Ovis aries: one gene and its partners. The protein of the gene in region 3 interacts with the protein of the main gene of each other region in a pairwise test. Links are inferred from orthologs where the notes say so. Each region holds a gene or a part of one and is shown on either strand. Other genes may lie near its edges.

What was found.
Region 1: the proteins of MGAT5B (region 3) and DMRT3 interact in a two-hybrid assay, tested with the Homo sapiens proteins (2 studies listed by BioGRID). The two-hybrid records come from large-scale screens. The link is inferred for Ovis aries from reciprocal best matches to the Homo sapiens genes MGAT5B and DMRT3.
Region 2: the proteins of MGAT5B (region 3) and RBPMS interact in a two-hybrid assay, tested with the Homo sapiens proteins (2 studies listed by BioGRID and IntAct). The two-hybrid records come from large-scale screens. The link is inferred for Ovis aries from reciprocal best matches to the Homo sapiens genes MGAT5B and RBPMS.

The regions. Positions count from the first base shown.
Region 1 is NC_056055.1:69,238,696-69,242,439, forward strand, and holds the start of DMRT3 (doublesex- and mab-3-related transcription factor 3), read left to right. Parts: upstream 1-1,443; 5' UTR 1,444-1,718; coding exon 1,719-2,169; intron 2,170-3,744. UniProt on the Homo sapiens protein: Probable transcription factor that plays a role in configuring the spinal circuits controlling stride in vertebrates.
Region 2 is NC_056079.1:25,628,232-25,631,975, forward strand, and holds the start of RBPMS (RNA-binding protein with multiple splicing), read left to right. Parts: upstream 1-1,204; 5' UTR 1,205-1,652; coding exon 1,653-1,718; intron 1,719-3,744.
Region 3 is NC_056064.1:54,304,706-54,308,349, reverse strand, and holds part of MGAT5B (alpha-1,6-mannosylglycoprotein 6-beta-N-acetylglucosaminyltransferase B), read left to right. Parts: intron 1-1,056; coding exon 1,057-1,169; intron 1,170-3,644. UniProt on the Homo sapiens protein: Glycosyltransferase that acts on alpha-linked mannose of N-glycans and O-mannosyl glycans.

The DNA of each region.
Region 1 (3,744 bases), on a different chromosome or scaffold from region 3:
TTTGCTTCCAAAGCAGTGCAGAATAAAGCTGAGAGGCGCCGACCGGTTGACCATTGCAGCCGACTGGTCTACGCTCCGGATTCGCATTGGATTCGTCCAGACCGCCAAGAGATGAATTCAGGGTGCTCTCTGAAGCCTGCCTTCTGAAGACGGCTCCGGGATTGCCATCGCGCCTCTTCGCACTGAGCCGTTGTGCTACCCTGCGCCGCAGTAACCACTGCTTTTCTTGTTTTCTCCCATTAGGGGAGCATCTCTGTGTGTTTGCGGAGGTATTCTGCTTTAGGCCATAACCCATACACACAAGTATCACTTTAAACAAAGTTTTACAGTCATCTGTGCAAAGGCCCTCTCCCACCCAAAGACACTGGTGTGGGGGTGGGGTGGCCCCGTCCCTTATTCATAACTAGATTGCTGAGTCCGTGGGCATTTGAATGGGGTGATGCGAGACCTCCGTTTGATTTCTCAAAGACCGTTGGGCAGGGTTCAGATCATATGCGGTAACTTGGGGGGCACTAGCGTGGCCCCTTCATTCGCTCTCTGAAAGTTTAGACCCAGTGCTTAAACACAAACTCCAAAAGAGCATTTGCCGGCTTTTCAGAACAGAGACTTTATTTTTTGTTACAACGTGGAGGTGTAGAAAGGTAAACTGCGCCACAGAGGGAGGACTATTTTCCCCTTTGAAACAGCCTGCAAAACGGGTCGTCATCCTTGGACCAGCAGGTTTTCAAAAGCATTTTCTTCTGCAGCGGCAAAAAGAAAAAAAAAAAAAAAACTTTGCAAAAAGAAATCAAGAAAGCCCCCATTTCTCGAACCAGTTCAAATGCCCTACCCCCAATTTCTCCAGCCAGTGGCCGCAGGACCTGGCTCCCCGCAACATAAAACCTCTTCTCGCGCCGGGACCCTAGTGTATCCGCAGCGCTCAGATAGGTTCCGGATCTCCCCGAGCCGTGTTTCTGTGGCCAAGTGTGGGAATGAAAGCCGCCTTGGGCCCGGTGCCGCCAAATCGGGCCTGGAGGGAGGCGGGAAGAGAGTTGAAGGGGAACTGCCACCCGCCTCGCCCAGAGGCACCCTCACCCTCATCCGCGCTGGTCCTCCCTTCCCCGCCCCGCGGGCGCTGCCGCGTCCCGAGTGCTGCAGTCCCTCCCTTGCAAGCAGGAGAGGCGCAGGGAGCGCGGAGGAGGGGGCCGTGAGCGCCCCCGTGAGAGTGGCCCGGCGGCAGGTAGCAGGGAGAGTAAAGCGCAGGGTCTCGAGAGGCGCGGGCAGGAGGAAGGAGGCGTGGAGTGGAGTGGGGTGGAGAGTGCCAGGAGACCGGGACCCCGAAGGTGGGGGTGGCGGGGGAGGGAGGCGGGGGGAGGGCGGCAGAGGACGTGCCGGCCGGTCTGCGCGCGGGAGCTGCGGACGAGCCGCTTCAGACCTTAACCAGAGCTCTCGCCGGCTCCCGGCAGCCGCCGCCGCGCCTCGGCCGCGGAGGACGTGCCGGCCAAAGGAGCGGCGGGAGGAGACTCGGCCGACTCGGGAGTAGGGAAGCGCCCGTCGGGAGCCGTAAAGACGGCCGCGGCCCCTCCAGCCACTCCGAAGCGCTCAAGGCCGCCTGGACTGCGGGGCCGAGGACTGCGCCGCCCGGAGGCCGCTTTGGAGAGGGCCTCTCAGCCCCGCCGTCCAGCGGCCCCGTACCGGCTCCCGCCGCCAGCTTGCCAGCTCTGTCGGGAGCCCGGGGCATGAACGGCTACGGCTCCCCCTACCTGTACATGGGCGGCCCGGTGTCGCAGCCGCCGCGGGCGCCCCTGCAGCGCACGCCCAAGTGCGCGCGCTGCCGCAACCACGGCGTGCTGTCCTGGCTCAAGGGCCACAAGCGCTACTGCCGCTTCAAAGACTGCACCTGCGAGAAGTGCATCCTCATCATCGAGCGGCAGCGGGTCATGGCGGCGCAGGTGGCGCTGCGCAGGCAGCAGGCCAACGAGAGCCTCGAGAGCCTCATCCCCGACTCGCTGCGCGCCCTGCCGGGACCCCCGCCGCCGGGAGACGCCGCCGCCGCCCCGCAGCCGCCGCCGACCTCGCAGCCGTCGCAGCAGCCGTCGCGCCCAGCCGCCGAGTTGGCTGCGGCCGCCGCGCTGCGCTGGGCCGCCGAGCCCCCGCCCGGGGCGCTGCAGGCGCCGCTCGCCAAGCCAGGTAAGGGCCGCGGCGGGGCCGGGCCGGGCTTGCGCCCGGTCGGAAACACTTGGAAGCAGCCCTGGAGGCTTTGGCCGGCAGGCCCGAAGGCGAGTGTGGCGGGAGTGGGCTGGGCGCGACCTTACCCCCCAACTCCAGCCAAGCCGGTCCTTACTCCCTCGGCGGAAGCGGCGTTCAGTCTGGACCCGGCGAGGTAGGAGGTGGAACCGAGGTGCCCTCGGGAAAGGCGCCTCGGGCTCGCCAAGTGCCTTCTCTAAGTTTAAGGGGACGGGTAGATAAAGAGGTCGAAACAGGACCAGATTAAAATCCACGCGGGCGCACACACTCCAGGCTTTTCGACTGTAGGCTTGAGAGGCCTCGCATCTGGAGGTTGGGACGGGAGGGCAGAGAAGGAGCCCAGGCCCACGGTTTGGCCTACTCTGGGCGATTTTCTCGGCACCCGGCAACTGGAGCGAACCTGAAGCCTTTCTAGTCTGCTGTGGTCTCCAGCCTTGTGCAGTTTGTTGAAGGAAGCCTTGTTTAGAAGCAAGAGTAGAAAGGGACCAGAAAGACTCCCAAAACTGTTAGCAGGGACTCAATGTGGTGCACCCAGAGCCAGCCAACTCCTTTTGCAGGAGTTCAGGTCCTGTAATACCATTTCGCAGGCAGTCCTCTGCAGTCTGCCGTTTTAAAGAAAGACAAAACCTGAGCTACAGTGAGGAAGGCCACGCCTGGAGAGCCTTTTCCCCAGTTCTCCGTGGGCCTGGGCCTCCTGCGGCCCTCTCCTCTCCTCTTCCCCCTCCGCTGTGTTCTAGAGAGCAGGAGTCTGCCCTGAGTCCTGGAGCTGCGCAGATCCCCCTACCCACCTTTTTATCCAGTTCCCTCCTTCAGGCCACCAAAACCTTGCACACCCCACTGGAGCCTTTCCTCCTGGAGACTTACTAGCTTGTGACTGTCCTGCCCAACCCAAGTGCTCCTTTGGTTTTTAACCCCTTGGAATTCAGTGGACAGGTGTTTGGTGTTTCCCTTTCACTGGGGGCAGATGTGCAAAGGAAAGAAACCCCATCTTCTCAGGGAGAGGGTTGAGAGGTATGCTGGGACTCAGAGGTGGAAGGCTCTCGAAGGACCAAAGCCCTCCTGTGGGTGGAACTAATGGTAGAGCTTCCGCCTACCCCTAACTGCCTCCCCTCCAAAATGCAATACTTCTGGTTTCTGGAGAGAGGCTTTCTGGAGCACTGGATTGCTGGGTGGAGCTGGGGACATGCCATTTCTTGGGGATAAGCTGGTAGGCCGCCTGGCAGGCTCAGTTCTGCTGCCCTGTTCCTCAGTTATGCTCTGCAGACCCAACCTCTGAGAACATCTTATGTGAAGAGCAGAACTGGGTGTTTAAAGACAGAAGTGAGTTTGCTGAACGTGGCTTTTGTGACTGTTTAATCCAGGGTAGGATGGATATAAGCCTTTCCCTGAGTATGTCTACTCACTTCCTGGTGACTCTCTCTTGTCAGTGTGATCTCATGTTTCACAGAGGAGTCAGAGGGGAGGGGAAAGAACCTTTTTCTCTTTTAAGTTAGGGCAGGTAACTAGGACAGTTTTGTC
Region 2 (3,744 bases), on a different chromosome or scaffold from region 3:
AGGGACGGGGGAGCCTATGGGGGTCGCACAGAGTCGGACACGACTGAAGTGACTTAGCAGCAGCGGCAGTCACTCAGTTTGAAAGCTTAAATGATACAATATTGGAAAAGTTCTCGGTGGCGCAGGAAAAGTGGAAATGAACCATGTCAGCTTCCAAGTATAGCCAACAACTGGGTCCGAATGGGTGCCAGGTGCTATAGTTTTATCTATCAATTTACAATCTCCTCTAATAACAAGCTTCTGGGAGAGGAATAGAACTACTTCTATTTCAGAGGAGGAAGCAGAAACCAGGCAGTTCTTCCTTCGGCGGGTGGGGAGCCAACAGGCATGGTACGCTCACCTCCCAGTATGCTGAGTCTCCCTTCTTTCAGTGGCTTTGACCCTCAGATTATGTCTTGGCCTCCAGCTCGGCTGGCAGTGAGAAATGGTCCCTCAACCAACAAATATTTATTGAGTGCCTACGATATACCAGGTAGCGTTTTCAAACTGCCATGGGATTCAAAAGACAAACAGGGCCCGGTCTTGTCTTCCAAGAAGGATCTCCCGAAAGGGTGAGAGAGGCAGGTAAACAATTCCAGGACAGTCTGATAAGGGCCGTAGAGGAGTCCGAGCAAGGGCGGCCGGAGAAGTTTCGGAGGACCCGGCGCGGAGATGGGGTCTGAAGATGCGCCCTGAAAACGCCGGCCCGGCCCCGGCTGCCCCCGGACGTCACCCCAGTTCCCGCATCCTGTCATTACCAGCTGCCCACTAGGTACTGAAGAGGAGGGGGAGGGATTGGGGAGCGAATCCCTCGTGAAGAGCGAGCAAGCACACAAAAGTAACACATCACACTTCCCGGGCGCCCGAGCCCCGCTCCGAGCTGCGCGCACGGCCCGGCGGCCTCCAGGTGCCAGGCGGACCCAGCCTTCGGCCCTCCCCCTCGGCCCTCGCCCTCCGACCTACCGCGGAGCCGGGGGCCGGGGTCCGCCGCTTCCGCCCGCCGCCCGCCGCCCCTCCCCAGCGCGCGCCATCCGGCCGCGGGGCCGCAGCCCTCGGCGCGGCCCCTCCTCCCGCGGGGGGCTCTGCCGTCCCTCGTCCCGTCCCTCCGGGCTCCAGCCGGCAGCCCACGTCCAGGGAGGGCGGGGAGAGGAGGAGGGGAGGGAGGAGGGAGCGGGGGGAGGGAGGCAGGCGAGAGAAGGGGAGCTGCTCGGAGCCCGGACCTCCCAGAGCCAGCCAGGAGCGCGCACTCGGCGGCTCTCCGGGTCCCCGCCGCCCCGCACCTCCCTCCCGCTCCTCTCGGGGTACGCCTCGCCCCTCCTTCCAGCAGCTGCTACGCCCGCGCCGGCGGCCGCCCCCCAGCCCCTCTCGGCCACATCCCCAACTCTGCGGACTCACTCCCGGGACGCGCGTCCTCGCCCCGTCCTTTCTTCCTTCCTGCCTTCCCTCGCGCCCGCCCGCCCGCCCCAGGTCTCCCTCGCGGGTCGCGATTGTCTCCGTCCCCTCCGCGCTGCGCCGGCGCCTCGCCCTGCGCCGTCTTCCCCTCGCACTTCCTGAGTCGCCGGCCGCCGCTGCCCCGACTCCAGCCCGCGGCGTCCGGGGAAGGGAGAAGTGGGCGAGCGCGCCCTCGCCCAGCCCCGCGCCCCAGCCCTGCCCGGCGAGGGAGGACCGGGAAGATGAACAACGGCGGCAAAGCCGAGAAGGAGAACACCCCGAGCGAGGCCAACCTTCAGGAGGAAGAGGTACGGAGCGGCTCGGTGCCGGGGCGGGGACGACCTGGGACGGCGGCCGCGGGCTCTGCCCAGAGTGCGGGTGGCTGGCCGGCCGGCCGGCGGGGCGCGGGTCCGGGGGCGCCGGGCTGCGCTGGGGAAGGGGCACCGAGGGTTTGGGAATCGTCCTGGCGTGGAGACGCAGCCCCAGACTGCGGCCACGGGATGAGGGTGTATCATCGGAGAGTGTGTTTTGGTGGGTCCACGCGCGTCTGCGTGCCTGAAAATTGCGTAACTTTGAGGACTTTCCCGAGACCTCTGTAAGTATAATGGTCAGCTTTGTTTGCCCCGGATTTTAAAAGCGGAATCGAGAGCTGACTCCTGGGTGACCTCAGATGATTGGGACCCGGAGGGTCAGCACTTAGTGCTGGGTCCGGGGCTGGAAGTTGTGGGGTGTGTGTTTGTGTGGTTTAGGGAAGAAACTCGGGGAAAGTTCTCATGAAAAGACACCTTCCGTTCCCTGCCCCCCCCCAACCCCCACAGTTTCTATGCGAAAAGTTCTCGGTGAAATATCTTTCCCAGCTAAGGCGTTTTGGATTAATAGATAACTCATCAGCCGCATTCTTCTCTGATGAGTCAAAGACCCCGAACCTGGCTGATTAGGTTTTGTAAATTTAGGGGCGTTGCGGTTGTGGGGCGCAGCATGCTGGAGTTTCAGACTTTGCAACTCGCGAAGTGTTGATCCAGACTGTTTTAATAGGACTTTGACGTCTGAGCGTAAATTTTATGTGGTGCGTCCCTAACAACGGTAAAAATGTTGCGGCTGCAGAGCGTTCCTTTGGTAGAAACAAAACTCAGTACATGTCGGGGAACTCCTGAACAATCCTTTCAGAATTTTGTAGTTGGGATATTTGCGTTATCTTGTTAAATGGGGCTCTGTACTTGTAGGTGCATTATCTAGAACCCAGTAAACACTGTTTTCCGCCTACCTTTTGAAAAGCCCAGGAAATTGACTTCTGAAACATTCCAAAAGGAACTTAAGAGTATGTGTAGATGCAAGAAAGTATGCAGTCTAGATAAAAGCATTCTTACAGAAAGGTGAACTGATTTCTAAGCGGTTAGGGTGTTGAGATGATTATGGAAATACTATGTTGTGTGTAAACTAAAATTCTGATTGTGAAGCCCAAGGTTGCTGAGGACTTAATACACTTAAGCCCTCAGCACTTGTAAAATGGGAACTATTTAAATGGAGAAGACAGGAGAGCTCCAAGACCAAGCCAAATATTATGCAAAATAACACAAGATTTTACTCTTAACACAGTTGTTCGTGGGTGCAACCCAGGTGAAATGCTGTTGAGCCTGACGTTGCCGTCTCACCTGAGCAAATCGCCTTTATTATTATAAACTGTTCTGAAAAGCATTATTTTTACATGCTGGTTTTTTAAATTGCAAGTGATGGAATAGTACTGACATTTCTTCTCTTTCAGAAAGATGGAGACTTGAATTGCAAGTTCTGCTTTTTTTCTTGAACCTCACTGGCTACTTTCCTATTTTATTTTCCCTACCACTGAAATAAAATTTAAAAATAAAAGGTAGTTTTTTTTTTTAAATGCTGGAGTATTTTATTTTTTATAATTAATAAAAAAGGTAGCTTTATTTAAGGAGTTGCAATGGCTTCAGAAACCTTTCTGTTTCATTAGATTGGCGATCTGTTGACTTCTAAGGGTAAGACTGTATCATACATATGAAACCATCTTTCTCTCTTCACCAGAAAGAGAAACTTGTAAAAGTTCATTAGGGTAAACCAAAGACTATTTTCTTTTTTTTTTTTTTTTTTGGCACACCATAAACTATTTGACAGAATTAAGCATAGAAAACTCAGGTTTTTCTGTTTGACCCAGCTCAGCTTAACTGCCTGCAGCACTGGCCTGTTTGCCCAAACCCTGGGTGTCTTTATATGTGCGAGGTTGGGTGCCAGTAAAATCACAGGTGATCCCAATACAATGGCTGTCTCTTAACCTGTCCTATTGCCTTGTTAAGTCTTCCTTTATCAGGTGGA
Region 3 (3,644 bases):
GTCCTCAAATAGAGTCAAAGTCCCAGAACAGCTTCCACCTCTGCTGCCCTAAGGCTGGATTGGCCCAGAATGTAGTATAGGAGCCGCAGGAGCCTGGGGCGAGATGTGACGGTGGGTTCCCTACTGGTGTCCCCCAGAGATTCCCTAGTGCCACTTGGCATGTAATCAAGTGCTACGTGTTGAAGTATGAACAGTTGTGTTTTGATCAACTCCCCGGAACACTGACAGCACACACTTGTGTGACACTCTTTACACAGGGGTTGACTTACTCTGACCAGTCCGTGGTGCAAGCTCCCATGTGCCTGCCTGGTGAAGCTGTGGGCTAGGGAGAGTCTGGACACAGAGGGTGGCCACATGACCCTGCCCTTCTAGACGTTACCATCTGGTAGTAACGGGCGTCTCCCCTCCACCCCTACCCCCACCCTGAACATGACAAGGCAGTGTTCAAGCGAGCTCATGACTGGTTGCAGCAGCAAGGCCTGTGTGCACAGGAGCTGACCGTGTTCCAGGTGATTGATGGGATCCAGGTGGGTTTTGTCTGGACCAATTACTTGCCCTCTAACTGGCATCGAGTTCTGCTGTCTTCACCTATACCAGTGGTCCTCAAACTTGAACGTGTATCTGGGTGACCAGGAGAACCTATTCAAACACACTGTTTATCCCCCTCCCAGAGTGTGTGATTCCCTAAGCCGGGGACTGGGGCCCAAGAATGAGCATTTCTAATGAGTCCAAGCTGATGTTGATGCTGCTGGCCTGGGGACCACACTGTGAGGCCCTCTGCTGTCAAGGGCCCAGCTTCTGTCTGGAGGCTAGGAGCTGCCCGACCTCACATCTTGTGTGCCTCAGTGTCCTTCGTGGTTTTTTGTGTGTGGCTCATGGTCACTTCTCTTAGTCCAGCTCTCTTTATCCTGTGTGGTGGGAGACCTACTGGCCCGGGAGCTCAGCCCCCTGATCTTTTACTCTTCCGTTTATCCATCCCTTCCTCACTCATTCATTCGTAGGAAGCCTTTATGGCATCAGAGTGCGTGTGCTGACCCTCCCTATTGCTCTCCACAGGCTTTTTGTCCTGGGCATCGGCTTCTTCTCGCTCTGCTTCCTGATGACGTCTCTGGGAGGCCAGTTCTCGGCCCGGCGCCCGGGGGACTCCCCCTTCACCATCCGCACAGAAGGTATCTTGGTGGGGAAAGGGGTGTAGGGGCTTGGGGTCCTTTGAGCCTCACCCTGCAGGAGTCTTTCTGGGGCCCTCTCCTGGGGGTCTGGCCACTTGGTGGATGTGTGAGTGGTCAGGGCTTTAGCTCTTGACCTGGCTATACTCATCAACCTCCTTCTGGCCCAGGTTCCCAGGTCAGGAAGGGCCTTTGAGCCAGGAGCTCCCCAGCATCACAAGGGGCGGCCTGTGTTGCTCCACTAGTGGGGCAGTTTGGGGTCTCTGGATATGACCCCTGTCTCTCTGAGACACATGCTGTCTGCCCCTTTGGCCCAGGGTGTGGCCACAGCACAGGCGAGACTGGCTGTGGGCTCATGTGTCTTATCTCCAAGCTCTGTGGTTCTTTGTCCCTGCCCACGTGATACTTGTGAGGCAGGGGAATGGAGGTTCAGAGCGTGGGCTCTGGGGACCAGATGGGCTTGGTTTGTACCTGGTTCATCACCTACCAGCTGGGTGCCGTTGGCCAGGTCACTTAACTCACTTGCGGAGAAGGAGAGGCGTGACTGTTTTCAGGGGTCAGATTGGATGAGCTCACGCGGCACGGGGTGTGACCGGGTGATGGTCTGGGAGACCTCCTCCTGAAGGTGGGTCCTGCCCCTCTCCATCCTGCTCAAGGAAGAATGGAGAGCGGTTCAGAAAGTCCTGCTCGGTGTGTCATGGGGGCTCTCCCGGTAACTGTGGGAAGGAGGGACATATTGGGGAAACTGAGGCAAGGGGGAGTTTCTGGAACTGTTCAGGGGGCTGCTCTGTGGACTCTCCCCTTCCCCCCACTTCCCGGGAAGTCTTTGTTTGACATCCACCTTCTCGAATCCCCAGGCCTCATCTTTCTGACTCCCCTCTTCCCAGTGACGGATAAACCCTCCAGCAGGAGGGGTTGTTGTCTGGGGTGGGTGCTCTAAGGGGCACTTACTCTGCCATCTGGTGTCTCCTGTTTAGATTCATCCCTTCAGTTTAACATGCACTTCTCTTAACTTGTAAAAATCTCCCAGCAGGAATTTCACATTTATTAGTCACTCAAACCTGAATGCAAATGAATCTGCCCCTTCTCTGATTCATGGAGGTCCCTCGGTCTCTTTGAGTCTCCGTCTTCTCCTCTGGTAAACGGGGCTAACAATGCCCACTTCCCCATGATTGCATGAGGGGGCGTGAAGATAACATAGATGAAGGGTCTTGAGCAGCTTCTGGCAGAGAGTGTGAGCTCTGCAAACATTTATGGGATGTGCTGAGTCTGAGACTCAGGAGAGGATGTTTAGGGAAGAGGACCAAAGAGGTGCTAGGACCTGGAAGCTCTGCGTGGGAGACTCCTGAGGATTGAGATTTGAGGTGGGGGTGAGGCAGTTGTGCAGGTGCCCATGATGGGTAGCTTGGGGACGGGTGGGGGGAGGTTGAGAGTCGGGGGTGGGGTATAAGGAGCGATGTTCAGGCTATCTGGGGGCCACCCCAGGCAAGGGGGTGTGTCTGTTTGGGTGGGCTGCCTCGGGGCCTTGGGCAAGCTGACCTCTGAAAGGTCAGGGATCCAGGAGGTGGGAATCAGGCTGGAGGAGGGGCGTATGGGTGTGCTCATTGCCCTGAGGGTGGCCCCATCCTGGCAGCGCTCAGAGGACCAGGGCTTGGGGGGTCTTGCTCTGCTCTGTACTATGCACTTTTGCCTGGCATGGGGAGAAGGGGCCCAGCTCCAACCTAGATCTTGTGTCTAAGGGGAGAGCAGAGCTACCAAGGGGAGAGGACTTGCCCAGGGTCCCTCAGTTAGACTAGAGGCATGTGTGTGTGTGTGCGTGTGTGTGTGTGTGTGCGTGCGTGTGTGTGTGCGTGTGTGTGTTGTGTGTTGCACATGTTTAAACTTTCCATCAGAGTATGTGCTGTGTGTGTGCTTAGTCGCTTCAGTCATGTCTGACTCTCTGTGGCCCATGGACTGTAGCCCGCCAGGCTCCTCTGTCCATGGGGAGTCTCCAGGCAAGGATACCAGAGTGGGTTGCCATGCCCTCCTCCTGGGAATCTTCCAGACCCAGGAATTGAACCTAGATTTCCCACACTGCAGGCGGATTTTTTTACCATCTGAGCCACAGGGAAGCCCTTTTCTATCAGAGTATAGTATTCAGAAACTGAACCTGTCTAGGCACTCAGCAACCTAGATCCAGAGACAGAGCATCATCCGTCCCCAGAAGCACCCTCAGGCTTCCTTCCACTTTCCACTTCCCCGCGGACGCTGGGACCTGACATCTAATAACACAGAGGAGTGTCGCCCTCGGACTTTATGACGATGGCACCCTCTGGCAGGTGTTCGGTTGCCTGCACATTTTTTCTCTCCATATTGCGTTTGTAAGATTCTCCCCTCTCCTGGCGAGTGATTGCCGACACTGCGCAGCATCCATTGTATGACTACGACACAATGTATTTATCCACTCTGCCCCGGGGCGGACCCTGGGCTGTTTCCAGC